Linked DNA regions of Saccharomyces cerevisiae S288C. The gene in region 1 interacts genetically with each later gene. Each region holds a gene or a part of one and is shown in the gene's direction. Other genes may lie near its edges.

What was found.
Region 2: mutations in COX13 (region 1) and TFS1 together harm fitness more than expected from each alone (negative genetic interaction), as found in Saccharomyces cerevisiae (one large-scale study listed by BioGRID).

Annotation. Positions count from the first base shown.
Region 1 is NC_001139.9:140,221-148,571, forward strand, and holds COX13 (cytochrome c oxidase subunit VIa), read left to right. Parts: upstream 1-4,587; coding exon 4,588-4,977; downstream 4,978-8,351. Other genes in the region: histone deacetylase HOS2, read right to left, coding at 148-1,506; YGL193C (uncharacterized protein), read right to left, coding at 1,696-2,007; IME4 (mRNA (N6-adenosine)-methyltransferase), read left to right, coding at 2,026-3,828; protein phosphatase 2A regulatory subunit CDC55, read right to left, coding at 5,589-7,169; 40S ribosomal protein eS26 RPS26A, read right to left, coding at 8,009-8,351. UniProt on the Saccharomyces cerevisiae protein: Component of the cytochrome c oxidase, the last enzyme in the mitochondrial electron transport chain which drives oxidative phosphorylation.
Region 2 is NC_001144.5:509,755-518,184, reverse strand, and holds TFS1 (Tfs1p), read left to right. Parts: upstream 1-4,363; coding exon 4,364-5,023; downstream 5,024-8,430. Other genes in the region: transcriptional regulator SWI6, read right to left, coding at 1-245; VTA1 (Vta1p), read left to right, coding at 515-1,507; methionine adenosyltransferase SAM1, read right to left, coding at 1,775-2,923; YLR179C (uncharacterized protein), read left to right, coding at 3,472-4,077; YLR177W (uncharacterized protein), read right to left, coding at 5,245-7,131; RFX1 (Rfx1p), read left to right, coding at 7,953-8,430. UniProt on the Saccharomyces cerevisiae protein: Specific and potent inhibitor of carboxypeptidase Y.

The DNA of each region.
Region 1 (8,351 bases):
TACATGTCATTTTTAACAATGATGCAAATAACTTTTAAGGCCTTAACACTCTACATAATATGCTAAAAACATTAAAAAAAAAAAAAGGAAAATAAAAAAAAAAAAAAAAAAAAAAACGGGAGATTAACCGAATAGCAAACTCTTAAACTATGAAAAGGCAATCAATCCACTGTTTTCTTTTTCCATTTCTTCTAGCCTATTTGAACTGTCTGCTTCTGTTTCTTCATTCATTTCTTGAATGATTTTATCCTCTTCTTCTGTCAGGGCACTTATATCTTGTGTCGGTATGCATTCAGCATCCATTCTGACACTTGGTGCTCCTTGCAAGTATCTGATATTTTCTAGACATCGTATTCTAATGTCTTCCAGTAGTTTTTTACTGTTTTTGTTTTCGTATAAGTCATCTAACATAGGATAAAGTGAATAATCCGGCCCGAATGAGTCCCGGAATGGGATATCTTCGGGGATGTCTTCTGGTAGCAAGACATCATTTAAAATTCCTGTCTCGTAGGTCCAAAGCCGTGATACATTTCTAGGTGTATAACCTCCACCGCCCACTACTAGCATTGGTAGACCAAATGATTTGACAAATTTTACGCATTCTCCATGTGCCTTTATATTTAAATTGAAGCATCCTAAGCGATCATGACCTAAGGAATCCGCACCGCATTGTTGGACAATAAGTGTTGGTTTGAAAGTCATTATTAGAGGATCTACAATTGACTTGAAAAGGTTTATATATGAGTCGTCATCTATGCCATCTTCTAGGGGTACATTTAATGCGAAATGTTTTCCTTTGTCGCAACCAATTTCTGTCAGATCACCAGTTCCTGGGAAAAATTCGCCATTATATTTATGAAAAGACAACGTGAAGACCCTATCTGTGGTGTAAAATGCCTCCTGGACACCATCGCCGTGATGTAAGTCGATATCGATATAAAGGATTCTTGGGTGATATCGTAATAAGTTCAAAATAGAAAGCACAATATCATTTACATAGCAAAACCCAGATGGACTATTCTTTTTTGCATGATGAAGACCACCAGACCAATTTATCGCTATGTCCGATTGATTGTTGATTAGTTTCCTGGTGGCGTCAAGGCTCGCACCAGTGTATAGTGTTGTATAATCATATAAATTTTGAAAAATAGGACAGTCGTCTCCAATGTTAAAATTTTCAAGTGTGCCTCTGGGCAGTTTGTTTGCATTTTCTGGTGAAACCTTCGAGAGAAAATTCACGTAGTCTTCCGAGTGAAATTGTAGTAATTCGTCTCTGGTAGCGCTTCTTGTTTCATAAAGGTCCATAATCTTGTGCAATCCATAAGAGGAAACTAGGTGATCCGTTAGCATTAACCGAAACGGCTTCATTGGATGCTTAACACCATAATGGTAATGTGAAACTTTGGAGTTAAAATGATACGATACCCTGGGAGAATAAGCAGAATTAAACTCAAATAATGGTTCGTTCTCCTTTGTTTTCACATCATAACTAAATGTTCCAGACATGTTGCGTGTTGTTATTCACTTGATACCTGATTTTAACGTACTTGAGTAATCTGGCGTCTTTTCTATAACTGTACATTGGCGACACACCTAAAACTGATTAGAATCGTTTCAAGATGCTTTCAGTTCAACATTTAGTAACATAGTAGGAATATCACGTTTAACGATGCCCCAAAGAACATCGAGAATCCTCTATATAGAGTATAAACAGGGCATTCTACATTGGTATAGAGGTGCCTTAGGTATATAGTGGTACCGGTCACATAAATTGACGGGAATATGCGTCTTTAGGCGGCTTTTGGCGTACAGTATTGTTCTTTCTTTCGTGCTTGTGAAACTTGTTATAAACAAAGAAAGAGAAAGATCTCCCCGGCATTCTGGAAGATCGGTAACCGCTGGAGCTATAGGAAAGGGAGATGGATAACAGTAAAGAAAACGGACCATATAAGTTAGCATTGGGGGTTTTCGAAAAAAATAAGAATTGGCATTCAGACTTGAATTCATAAAAGTTGTAAGCAGGCTATGATTAACGATAAACTAGTACATTTTCTGATCCAGAATTATGATGACATCCTAAGAGCACCGCTTTCTGGACAGCTCAAAGATGTGTATTCACTGTACATCAGTGGCGGATACGATGATGAGATGCAGAAGTTGAGAAACGATAAAGACGAGGTCTTACAGTTTGAACAGTTTTGGAATGATCTTCAGGATATTATATTTGCAACGCCGCAGTCCATTCAATTTGACCAGAATCTATTAGTGGCAGATAGGCCAGAAAAAATTGTTTACCTGGACGTTTTTTCCTTGAAAATTCTCTATAACAAGTTCCATGCCTTCTACTATACATTAAAATCGTCCAGTTCTTCATGTGAAGAAAAAGTGTCGAGTTTAACAACAAAACCGGAAGCTGATTCGGAAAAAGACCAACTGCTGGGTAGACTGCTTGGAGTCCTGAACTGGGACGTTAACGTCAGCAACCAGGGGTTACCACGTGAACAACTGAGCAATCGCTTACAAAATTTATTGAGGGAAAAACCATCATCTTTTCAGCTTGCTAAAGAAAGAGCCAAATACACGACCGAGGTCATTGAATACATCCCGATATGTAGTGACTATTCGCATGCATCTCTATTGTCCACCTCGGTGTACATTGTCAATAACAAAATCGTTTCTTTACAATGGTCCAAAATATCCGCATGTCAGGAAAATCACCCAGGATTAATTGAGTGCATTCAATCAAAAATTCACTTTATCCCTAATATCAAACCACAAACTGATATTTCGTTAGGAGATTGTTCCTATTTGGATACCTGTCATAAATTAAATACGTGTCGATACATTCATTACCTGCAATATATTCCGTCATGCTTGCAAGAGCGAGCTGATCGTGAAACTGCGAGTGAAAATAAAAGAATACGGTCAAACGTTTCCATTCCATTTTATACTCTGGGCAATTGCTCCGCACATTGTATCAAAAAGGCTTTACCTGCACAGTGGATCCGTTGCGATGTGCGGAAATTTGATTTTAGGGTTCTTGGAAAGTTTTCGGTAGTTATTGCAGATCCTGCATGGAATATCCATATGAACCTACCATACGGTACTTGCAACGATATTGAACTATTAGGTTTGCCTTTGCACGAACTACAAGATGAAGGTATTATTTTTCTTTGGGTGACGGGTAGAGCTATAGAATTGGGTAAAGAGTCTTTGAATAACTGGGGTTACAACGTGATAAATGAAGTTTCATGGATAAAGACAAACCAACTGGGTAGAACAATTGTTACAGGTCGTACGGGTCATTGGTTAAATCATTCTAAGGAGCATTTATTGGTGGGCTTAAAGGGTAATCCAAAGTGGATCAACAAACATATTGACGTCGATTTGATCGTATCAATGACCAGAGAGACTAGTAGAAAGCCTGATGAACTGTATGGTATAGCAGAACGGTTGGCAGGCACCCATGCCAGAAAACTAGAGATATTCGGAAGGGATCACAATACGCGGCCTGGCTGGTTTACCATCGGAAACCAGTTGACAGGAAATTGCATTTACGAAATGGATGTCGAGAGGAAGTACCAGGAGTTTATGAAGAGCAAAACTGGAACCAGCCACACTGGTACTAAAAAAATCGACAAAAAGCAACCTTCAAAATTACAGCAGCAGCATCAGCAGCAGTATTGGAATAATATGGATATGGGGAGTGGTAAGTATTATGCTGAGGCCAAGCAGAATCCTATGAATCAAAAACATACTCCCTTTGAATCCAAACAGCAACAAAAACAACAATTCCAAACACTAAATAACCTATATTTTGCTCAGTAAAGCGTTAAATAATCCTTTTAAACATTAATAGCATTGCATAAAAAAGATGGTCATAAAAAAGACTGCAGCGGGAAGTAAATGGTTTCCTGGTCTGTATTAGACAAACTTTGGAATAGAGAAGGATATGGTTTATGTCCAATAATTATTATCCGAGTCCGTGTATTTTTTTACATCAACTGGAACAATTTATTACCCGGATGTTTAAAAATTGTTGTCGCCTGGAGAAAGCTAATACTAGTTCTGGCCATATTTTCAACCATTAAACACTACTAATGTAATTACTTGACTTATTTGCTCCCACTCTTGGTCGGTTCTTTCCCATGGCGCATTCTACCATTCTTTTTTTCTACTCCAATCGTTCTTACTGGAAACTGTGGGAATAGCGAAGAACGACTATTATTTGCTAATACAGAGTAAGCTATCCTGCTGAATAGGTAGACGATAGTAGTAACCCAACGCCGCTATCCTTTCGATTATACCGCTATGAATGTAGTGATATGGTGCGGTATTGACACAATATAGTAATTTCGGGTAATTTTTTTTCCCACCAATGAGAGGCGGTACTGGGAGTATCGGTCTAAGAGAATCGAAAAATAACCCCCAGCTGGGATGTGATCACGATGAGTGACGGGATACATTAAATATAACAAACATACACGTTGCCTTGAACGTTTTCACTACACATCGCATGTGTTTTATCTAGATTTAAAATCATATTACTACAGTTCTACAGTTATACAAATAACAAACAATAGAAAAATGTTTAGACAGTGTGCTAAGAGATATGCATCTTCATTACCCCCAAATGCTTTGAAACCTGCATTTGGCCCACCAGATAAAGTGGCAGCTCAAAAATTTAAAGAATCATTAATGGCCACTGAAAAGCATGCGAAGGACACATCTAATATGTGGGTTAAAATCTCAGTTTGGGTCGCCCTACCAGCAATTGCTTTAACAGCTGTGAACACATACTTTGTTGAAAAGGAGCATGCTGAGCATCGTGAACATTTGAAACATGTGCCAGACTCCGAATGGCCAAGGGATTACGAGTTTATGAATATCAGGTCTAAGCCTTTTTTCTGGGGTGACGGTGATAAGACATTATTCTGGAATCCTGTTGTCAACAGGCACATCGAGCACGACGATTAATTAATTGATTAAGTGAGAATAAACTTTTCGAAAAATTTTTATTTATGATAATTTTACTAATTCTTACTTATTTCTTTTATATTCGATAAAAAAAATTCAAAATAAAAAAAGATTAATCCTTTGATAGGAACTAAAGGTACTAGGTATTTTGGGCGGCGAAGCATCATTCCGTTCTTAAACATCTATATATATATAATTATATTGCAAATGTATAAGCATTTAAAAACATAAACATGCACCTATGAAGAAGAATTTAAGACGTTTTATTTTTATGTTCCACGCGTTTTGGTGAAGTGATGAAAGAAGTCCTGATAAAGGGATGTCGGATTAATAATTGATACAGTGTTTATAAGATAGCTAATCAGAAAAAAAACGAAAGAAAATGGTATAAGTCTCAGAATAATGATAATAAAACACGCTTGAAGTAGAATAAAAATATAAGTAGAGAAGATAAAATAAAAAAATAAAGATAGAAAGATTTTCAATGAGGGGCAAATCTAAATCTAAAAAATTTGAATTCAAGTTCAATTTAAATTTCAATTAAAACAGTAGTAGTATGTGGGGAAGATATGGGATAAAAAAAAGTAAGGGAAAATAAGGAATTATTATAATTATAATGCGGAAAAAATGAATAAATTATTAGTTGCTGCAACAGCAATACTATTTTCTCTTGGATGCCATGAGAAATGTAAAATATTCTTCTTGAAATCAATATCGTCACCCCAATCCTTATTTCTTGCAGACCTTTGCGCTAGCGAACCGTATCTTTTGTTCCTGAACGCTGTTTTGTCAGCTTGTAACACGATTTCATTCATTTCGGTTCCCGAGTCCTCCGAATTTGCTCCTTCTCCTCCCGCTATACTGCTTCTAGAGCTATTACTACTTCCCACCATGCCTGTGTTGCGTCCGTTACTCCTACGCTTGTGGCTGTTGCCACTACTACTAGAATCTTTATTTTGTATGCTGTTGTGGATATTTTTATTGCTGTTGCTATTAGGTGCGTTGTGTTCATCAAAAGTTTTGACTATGCCATTATCATTATCACCAGAAGTTACTACATTAGGATAGATCATGAAATTGTTATTGTAAGAACCAGTCATTACACTTGAACTATCACCACTAAAATTAACTTCAAATTTATCGAAAATCGCATCGTTTTCATAGGTATCACTCAATCTTTCCTTCAATTGCTCATGTATGTTTATGGTTTTCAAAGGCTTATTATCCATATTTACGTCCCAAATTTTGACAGTTAAATAATCTCTGGATGCAATATACCTACCATTTGGACTAAATTTTATGTCGGAAATTGACGACGTGATTTCTGTAAAAAAATTATGATTGATTGGATCCAAATATTCTTCAAATGTTTTGGTTTTATTGTCACATAGGGAATTTTGTCTCATATCACACAACTTTATTGTACCTTTGGAAGAAGAGTACATGAATAAATTACATTCTTGCGGATGAAATTCAGCGCTTGTGATCACTTCGGTAAGTTCTTCCATATTGGTTGGCTTGATATCTACGATGTTGAAGCTCTGATCTGGTATGTCCAGATTCCATAAATTGATTCTCAAGTCGTCAGCACTTAAAAATGTTTCCTGATCAGAATTCAACGATATCGAATTAATGTGATAGGTATGTGCATTACTATATATACGCTTTGGGGTGGCAGCAATGATTTTGTCATGCTGTGATAATTGAGGCAGTTTCAGCGATTGTAAAGATAATACAGCCCTCACGGAGCCTCCTCTACTGTTATGGTTATCGGGCTTGCCTTTTTTCGCAAACGTAACCCCTTCTGTTAAGTTGTTCTGGCTTACCAATTTTATATTTTTCTCATAAACTTTCCAAAGTTTTATAGTTTTATCATTTGTGCTCAAAAGAAAGTGTGATCTTTGAGTTGGTCGTAACCATTTGATTTCATTTATCTTCTCTTCAATTTCTAAGGATTTTAAATAATCAAATTCTGCGTCATGACTTTGAAACTCTGTTAAAAACTTATATTCGCAATGTCTACTATTACTTCTTTCAAAAAGTACCACACGGCCACCTTTATCACCAGTGGCCAGATAATTTCCAGTATAGTCAAATTCTACAGCTGTAATTAGATCCGCCTCTGTCACCACAATATCTGCTTTATCACCAAAACATTGGCTGAATTTAAAATCAAAATTGTTTTGTGCCATTGTGCGCTATATTATATTTCTTTATGCGTAAGATCTCTCCAGTTTGACCTCGATATGTTGGCTAGATTTTATGAGGTTTACAGTTTATAGAAACACTAGTTTTCCCTTTCTTAATATGTTGGTGGAGTGGGGGTAATCGTATTAAGCTGCCTTATTCACCCTCTGATAGGAATAAAAATCGAAACAGGACGAAAAAAGGGTGAACTAAAATATAGAAGAGAGCCTAATTGACGTAATCGAATTCTTCTAGAATGCGTTTGTATATTCAATTTTCAATTCTTCCAGTCTCTTCGTGGAAAGTTCTCTAACGTAATAGTCTTGTCTTGTGCAAACTCCCTTTATCTTTGACGGGAAATGTTAGGCAAAATTGGATGGAAAAGAGAAAAAAGGAAGGAAAAAAACAAAAAAAATCTACTTAGTTAAGGATCTATTGACGTGCGCGGGGGGAGTATATGCCAATTGTCTCAAAAAAAAAACGTTTATGCCGTGCCGGAATAGAAATAGTTACTGGTCGTTTTCCTATCTGATATAAATCTGAGTAAAACGATTATTGTCTAACCCAATGCAATATATACAGATAGCATTCCGCTCATAGTTAATAATTAACTTCAGACAGTTTTTTTCAATATCTCATTAAAGGGAAGAAAGGGAGGCGAAAAAAAAATCAAAAAAATTATACTTCGTATCAAATTATATTCGTGGAAGGTGACGATAGTAATATTTGATGTTGAACATACTTGAAACATTAACATATTTAATAGAAAACTATTGTAATGGTTATTTTTTATTGATTAGAAATAGTAGAAAAATTTACTTATGTTTCACCTATATTAATCAAGTTATAAAGCCTTCTTGGCGGCATCAGCAGGGGAAACCTTGTTTTCTCTGTTGAATCTTGGTCTTTGAGGTGGAGCTCTGTTCTTTCTGTCTTCTCTGGATCTGACTCTGACAATTCTGGCGTGAATAGCACAAGAAACACAGTAGTGTAACTTGTTGTAAGTCTTTGGCAAAGCGTATTCAGGGTAGACAGAAGCTTCGGACAAATCTCTGACGGCAGCGGCTTCAACAATGTTTCTGATAGCCATTCTCTTGATAGCCTTATCCTTTGGAATAGACTTGGAACAGTTGACACATCTGACTGGTTTGACGTGACCTCTACCTTTCTTGTTTCTACCGTTGGAA
Region 2 (8,430 bases), on another chromosome or scaffold:
ATCCATAACTCACCTCGGTCGTCTGTATTTACAGCAATTCCATAATGTGCCAGTAATTTATTTCTTTCCTCATCAGTGGGGAAACTATCGGGGTTGGTCTCGTTAATATTCCCCGTGTCATGATATTGCTGCAAAATGGGCAGAAAATGTTTCAGGAGGAAATGGCCAGTCTCCGAGTCTCTAGTGAGTGTCAAAGGGATCTCATTGTGAGGTCCTAAGTATCGTACCACTTCTTCCAACGCCATCCTCTCGAGAATTATACTGTGTTCCCCTTTATTATTCTTTTTTTTTTAGCTATTGCTTAGTTCATATTGATGTTTCTCAATCGTGTTTTTTGTTGTTTTTTTTTATTATTATGAAATCGTTGGAGAAGGAAACTAAAAAAAAAAACTAAGATTTGGTGAATGATCTTATCCAAACGGTCCAGATGAAGACAAAAAAAGGAACAATAAGCTTTCTTATTTTATTTGATTCAATTTTTAGAAACTAATTGTCCACATTTTAAATAAATTCTATGGCTAGTAACGCTGCAAGGGTTGTCGCTACAGCGAAGGATTTTGACAAAGTTGGGTTAGGGATCATCGGATACTATCTTCAGTTATATGCGGTGGAATTGATACTGAGTGAAGAAGATCGGTCGCAAGAGATGACCGCACTAGCGACAGAACTTCTTGATACTATTGAAGCGTTTAAGAAGGAGATTGGCGGCGAGAGTGAAGCAGAAGACAGTGACAAAAGCTTACACGTTATGAACACGCTAATACATGATCAAGAAAAAGCCAAAATTTATATGCTAAATTTTACAATGTCGTTGTATAACGAGAAACTGAAACAGCTAAAAGATGGTCCCTGGGATGTTATGTTAAAAAGATCACTTTGGTGTTGTATTGATTTATTTTCATGCATTTTACACCTGTGGAAGGAAAATATAAGTGAAACGAGTACAAATTCATTACAAAAACGAATTAAGTATTGCAAAATTTATTTGAGTAAATTGGCAAAGGGTGAAATTGGTTCCAGCGACGAGAAAACGTTAGATTATGCAGATTTTGCGGATGATAGCGAGGAGATTAAGGATGAAGATGTTGATCACCAGACAAGCGATTTGGAAAACAATAATAATGATAAAGTCGAAGGCCTAGCCCCAAAAGACCAAACAACATCATACGAGCCTGTGGATGAGGTACCTGAATTTATTGATGATGCCGATAGCGTAAACGAAGAAGAACAGACCGTCGACAAGAACGAAGATGCAATAACAAAAGACGAACAACAAGTTGTGAAGAAAGAAGTGGATCTTACGCGCCCTTCTGCACCATCAGAACCTGCTGCAGCAGAGCATAAATCGTATACAAAGGATGAGTTGACAAAAATTATGGACAGGGCCAGTAAAATAGAGCAAATTCAAAAACTTGCCAAATACGCCATAAGCGCATTGAATTATGAAGACCTGCCCACCGCCAAAGATGAGTTAACTAAGGCGTTGGATCTGTTAAATTCTATTTGAATAAGATAAAGTTTGGTTTGTTGATCCGTTGAAGGAGGTATATATTAATATTAGTAGTTACGTATTAAATGTTAGAAAGGAAAAGGAATCCTGTATAATGCAAAATGAAATCGATACAAATTTGATTTGAGAAAAATGAGTCTATATCAAGAATATGATGGTATTGCGTCCCTGCATCAAATACGGTATAATGTACATGTTGACTTGTGTTGAGCAAATGAAAACATGGGAGGTTGAAGGCAGAAAAAAGTCCAAAAGGAAAAAAGCTTAGAACTTCAAAGTCTTAGGCTTTTCCCATGGGTATTCTTGGTTTGTGAAATGGCCATAAGAAGCGGTTGGCAAGTAGATTGGTCTAGCTAAGTCCAACTCCTTGACCAATACACCAGGTCTCAAGTCAAAGTTCTTGCTGATAATGTCGATAATTTCTTCGTCAGACTTGGTCGCAGTACCATAGGTGTCAACGTGCAAGGACAATGGTTCCGCAATACCGATGGCATAAGAAAATTGAACTTGAACTCTCTTACATAAACCAGCGGCAACTAGGGACTTGGCAACCCATCTAGCGGCATAAGCGGCAGAACGATCAACCTTAGAGTAGTCCTTACCGGAGAAGGCACCACCACCGACGGATGAGGCACCACCGTAAGCGTCGACGATGATCTTTCTACCGGTCAAACCAGCGTCACCTTGAGGACCACCGATGACGAATCTACCGGAAGGTTGGATAAAGTATTTGGTGTTTTCGTCCAACATGTCTCTTGGGATGACTTTTTCAATGATCTCGGACTTTAGTTGCGCTCTTAAGTCCTCGGTCGTGATTTCGTCAGCATGTTGAGCGGAGACGACGACGGTGTCGATTCTTTGTGGAACCCATCTACCGTGGTCATCCTTGTATTCGACGGTGACTTGAGTCTTGGTGTCTGGTCTCAACCACGCTAAAGAGCCATCTCTTCTCGCGTCAGCCATGGCCATGTTTAGTTTATGAGCCAAAAGAATAGTCAAAGGCAAACCCTCTGGAGTTTCATCTGTGGCGTAACCAAACATGATACCTTGGTCACCGGCACCGATGTCTTCCAAATCCTTCTCCTCGTGGACACCTTGGGCGATATCTGGAGATTGTTGCTCAATGGCGACAAGGACGTTACAGGTCTTATAGTCGAAACCCTTGGCGGAATCATCGTAACCAATCTTCTTGATGGTGTCTCTGACGATTTTTTGGTAATCCAACTGTGCCTTGGTAGTAATTTCACCAAAGACCATAATCATACCAGTCTTTGCCGCGGTTTCACACGCAACTTTGGAGTGAGGGTCCTCGGCTAAACAAGCGTCCAAGATGGCGTCGGAAACTTGGTCACAGATCTTATCTGGGTGACCTTCACCAACGGATTCAGAAGTGAATAAAAATGTACCGGCCATATTTTCGTTTATCTTATTTTTTCTTGTTTTTAGGGTAAATTCCTGGTTTTTACTCTATTTTTTTTTCGAAGCTAACCGAAAAACAACGATGAATAACAGACAACACCAGTCGATATATACGTCCCAAACCAATCCCATTAAGTACTAAACGGAAAACTTTTTACTCTTCCCTTTTTCATCGATACCAGAGTGAAAAACTACGATGAGGCTAAAATTTCCTCGAGACAAGAACCCGAAAAAAGAAATGCACTAGTAGGCAAGGGCGCCACCACAGTTTTCCTGTGAAAAAAAAAAAAGAAAGTATTCGTGTGTAGTGATATATAACTTTATCTTCAAATTCTATTTCCGTCTTACGTCCGTTTCGGTACCTTTTTTTCAAAAGATCTTGCCTGACATTTTTTTGAACAATATAAAAGTGCCAAGCGTGCTCATTATTGGAAGTGCGCACCAGGTGAGGAATTGAATGTTGCCATCAATTGTTTGAGTAAACACTGCCCATCTGCCACTTTCGGTACCCATCCGAGTACTTAGTAATAGAAATATATATTATGTCTAGTGCCATCGTTGCTAAACTGAACAAAGAGGACATCATTAAGGACACCGTCAAGGACTTGGCGTTCGAGATTCTTGGTGAGTTGTCGGTTTCGTACGTTGATTCTGACGACATCAAATTGGGCAATCCCATGCCAATGGAAGCTACGCAAGCCGCTCCTACCATCAAGTTCACGCCCTTCGATAAAAGCCAATTGTCAGCCGAGGATAAACTCGCTTTGTTGATGACTGACCCGGACGCGCCCTCTAGAACAGAACATAAGTGGTCGGAGGTTTGTCACTACATCATCACTGATATTCCTGTCGAGTACGGACCTGGGGGAGATATTGCCATTTCGGGGAAGGGTGTCGTGAGAAATAACTATATTGGGCCTGGTCCACCAAAGAACTCCGGTTATCACAGATACGTGTTCTTCCTGTGCAAGCAACCCAAGGGAGCGGATTCGTCCACTTTTACCAAGGTTGAGAACATTATCTCCTGGGGGTACGGTACTCCTGGTGCGGGTGCCTATGACTATATCAAGGAGAACAATCTGCAACTGGTCGGTGCCAATTATTACATGGTCGAAAACACGACCGTTGATTTCAACTATGACATGTAAGGTGCAGCAACCGGCTCGTATAGATACGGATAAGATAGAGTATATTGTGCAAACGCGTATATGAAATAGTGAATATATACATGCCGAACGGTTCCGTTTTTTTTTTTTTTGGCTCGTTGATTTTTCCTATCCCTTTGAACTTTTCTATCTTTTAAGGGATAGAGGGGCTGTTCAGGGAAGGAAAGATCTCAATTGGTATATAAAAAGGGGGCAGCAAGAAACGAATTGCAGTGCTCCTTTTCCCTACCAGTGCATCAATACAAGAACAAGAGAACAAGCAAAAAACATGAACCAAGCAATAGACTTCGCACAAGCAAGCATTGACTCCTACAAGAAGCACGGCATTCTGGAGGATGTAATTCATGACACAAGCTTTCAACCCTCCGGGATACTTGCCGTAGAGTACTCATCAAGTGCACCTGTTGCCATGGGTAACACGCTGCCCACTGAGAAGGCACGTTCCAAGCCCCAATTCCAGTTCACGTTCAATAAGCAAATGCAAAAAAGCGTACCACAGGCGAATGCGTACGTTCCCCAAGACGACGATTTGTTCACACTGGTAATGACCGATCCGGATGCTCCCTCTAAGACAGATCACAAGTGGTCTGAATTCTGCCACTTGGTAGAATGCGACTTAAAGCTGTTGAATGAGGCTACTCACGAGACCTCCGGAGCAACCGAATTTTTTGCATCAGAGTTCAATACGAAGGGCTCGAACACACTAATAGAATATATGGGACCAGCTCCACCCAAGGGATCCGGTCCCCACAGATATGTTTTCTTGTTATATAAGCAGCCTAAGGGCGTGGACTCATCTAAGTTCTCGAAAATTAAGGATAGACCGAACTGGGGTTACGGCACCCCTGCCACCGGTGTTGGCAAATGGGCTAAGGAAAACAACCTGCAACTAGTTGCCTCCAATTTCTTCTATGCGGAAACGAAATAGGTATATATATATATATATGTATATGTATTTATTTTTTAGATTTCAGTGCTTTTCACTTGACTTTTTATTATTTTTGTTTTATTTATGTTTTTGTCACAAACGCGCACATGTTTGTAGGGAGTAATGTCATTGTCAAACAAAACACATAAGAAAAACATGGTGAGATTATTAAAAAAGTGTATAAGTTTATAAAATGTTTATAATGATTATATAAGTTTGGGTTAGCCGAACAAAACCTTCACCAATTCCATATAAACACCGATCTGGAAGTCGTCCAGTTTCAAGCGATTCAGTTCAGGGGCCACGACAATTCCAGTGTTGTCCATGGAATAGTGGGACATCATATCCTGATACATCTCCCACTCAAACTTGTTTGAATCATAAAATTTGGAATCTATCGATAAATTGTTCGGTATAGCACAAAGCCAAATTCTTGTTTTGTAAAACTTAAAGAGTTCTTTGATCAGGTCTCTGAAATCATTACGCTCCTGGCAAATGTAGTAGAAAGTCAATTTCTTTCTGTCGAATTGGAACTCTGCATTCAATATTTTGATGTTCAACCCGCCACCGGAGTTATTGTTATTTAGCGACCTCAGTTTTAGCTGTGCAATGTGAAGAGCCTTTAGCTCATCCTGGAATTTGTTGTGTAAATTCGTGGAGGATTCCCACGGGGTGGCAAATCTCAGAACCTGCTTTGATGGGATGATCAATTGCGTTAGTTCAATGATATCATATAACTTCGGATTCAACTCATGAGCGACCGGCTTACCATTGGTTGTATCAACCAGAGTCTTGATAAACTGGTCATTGGGGAAATGCTGTTGACTATTGGTGATTAGAGAATCAAAGTGAATTTTTTTCTTCAAAAAATTTATAAATAGTGCCAAATTTATATCTACAACCGGTTCCACCACCAAAACTAAATCTTTACCACGATCACCATCAATAATGACCAAATCGCCCCTTTTCAGTATAAGTGTGGCCGTTTGTGGTTTAGACAACAGTTCGAGCTTACCATTTTTCAACGATACTAACACTAATGGCTTATAGTGCAAATGCATTGAAGTGCTGTTCTTGGATTTGGCCGCCCCGGTCGACGAAGCGTTTGAAACAGCAGTGGAGATGAATGCGTCAGACTGTGGGTTGTAATTCAGATTACAATTTTTCAAAAAATCCAAAAACTCTATAATCCTGGAACTGGAGGCGGAGACATTATCCCCGCGTAAAGTTCCCTTTATGCTGTCAATAAATTTATAAACTTTATCACTAGCAAAATAGTTTGACCCGCAGTCAAGATATAAGTCATGCAGCTCCTTGGATGACGTCAAATTCTTGCCGTCGACAACCGCCAATCCGGCATCGTTTGTGGGAGCGGCTGCCGGATGCAAGTTCAGCACTGGCTGGGTGTTGCGCCTAGCATTGAAGGGTGACGAGTACTGTTGCTGCTGAGTATACTCGGAAGGAGCAGTGTATGGTACTTGCAAAGATGGGTTGTTGTTAATATATACAGGTTGCGAGTATTGTGGTTGCTGGGTAGCCGCATTGCCATGAATCAGCGCATCAGAAATATAGGAAGATCTTCTTCCCGGGTCAAAGATGCTTTGTTGCTGTTGCTGCTGCTGCTGCTGCTGCTGCTGCTGCTGTTTCTGTGGATAGTATTTTTGGGAGCTGTTGTTTAAGGGAGAAAGAATATTGTTAGGCGAAGTGTTCATCACATTCAAGTAATCCTGTTTGTATGGCTTTCTGTCCTGAGTCGGGGTGCCGTTAAACTCAAATGAGAAAAGAGACAAATTAGGGCTCTTCCCGTTAATGCTCATCTCGCTCTGTTTCCTTCCTTCGTCCGCAAATGCGCTGAACGAGGCCCTTTTAGTGTTCTTCTGCCCCAGAAGAGACTGCTTATCCTCTCTGAAACCGATGTAACCGTTGATAAAGTCAACTCTGGAGCGGGGATGCGCAGCAGCGCTGTTGTCGTTAAAATCTGCCATTTTTCCTGGCAAATCCGCTAGCGACTTGCCACTATTGTTCTTGAACAGCAACTTGTCATAGTAATTCCTTAACTCCTGGTTGTCGGATATACTTGTGGTGCTATTTATTGAAGGCAGCTCCATGGTACCCTATTTCTATCTTTATTCCTGTGTCTATACGTCTATGCACTCTAGTGAGCTGATATTGAATGGCGCCTCCTCTCTCCATTGTTCTTTTATTGTTTATATACTGTGCCAGCGATCCCCGCGTGTCCTGCCCCTGAAACACCGGCGCAGGAACCCCTTGAGCGTGGGGAAGGGGAAGGTTCAATTTACGGGCAGCTCGAGCTGCCCGTAAATTGAACCACACTCTCTTGGTATTTGGATAATCAAGTGTGTACATACTTTGTGCAAGTGGGATTTACCCTACACCTCTCGAGGCCTTGTCCTACGATAGTCGTAATAACGCAGACAGCACCAGCGATACAGCAGCACCAACACACCAAGAAAAATAACCATCAACCGTACGGAAGCCCCTTTGTATGCTGGGTAGCTGATGTGCACCTAAATCAGCCGGGCGTGGCAGCAGTCGACGCATACTTGTTTCTTTAGCTCTATTCTTGTTACAGGACCATCTAGGTATGCAAAAACGAAGGTGCGGTTTTTCCTATCTGGTACGGTGCGGAAGAGGGAAAGAAGAAACGAAGGTCCAATGGTAGCGCCACTCCACGATATACAGCTTCGTTGGTAAAACCACGAGTTTGGAATCAAACTCGTGGCTCACCTATGGATCTTCGGATTTTATTTCAAGCACGGTCACCTCCCCTTCGTTGCGGTTTCTTGCGCACGTTTGTGGTGTCTATTGCTGCAACAGTTGAACCTGTTTTTGATTTCGTAATTTTTCTCCTGTCGTTTCGTGTTGTCATGGCGATTTGGGAAAAAGTTGAAAAAAAAAATAGCAGTAAATGGTAATCTTCAAAGAACGCAAACCAACAGAAAACCTTTTCACTAGAAAAATACCTGCCAAGTACTTCATCTTCTCGCCTAGTTTTTTGTCTGTTCATTATTTTGAATTTTATTTGCCCATGTCCGGTGATAATAACATTGAACCTACTAGTCGGGGCTCGAACGACAATAGCAACGGTCCAAGTAACGGATCTTCGGTAAACAGTAATCGGTACAGTTTAAACGCACCCAAGTACAGCAGCCAACCACCGCCAGCATCACACACTTATTTGCCCCCCATGTCAGTGAATATCCCGCCCATAGCGAGCAAATCATCGTCAATATACAGCCTGCTACACCAAAGTTCCCCCCGCCCGGAGACGCCAAATCCAATATTACCGCCACTTATCGGTAGTGGTCCCGGCTCCCATAAACCATCTCCTACCCCTACACAGCCTCCTGCACAACCCGCAACACAACGGCAACCTGCCACATACT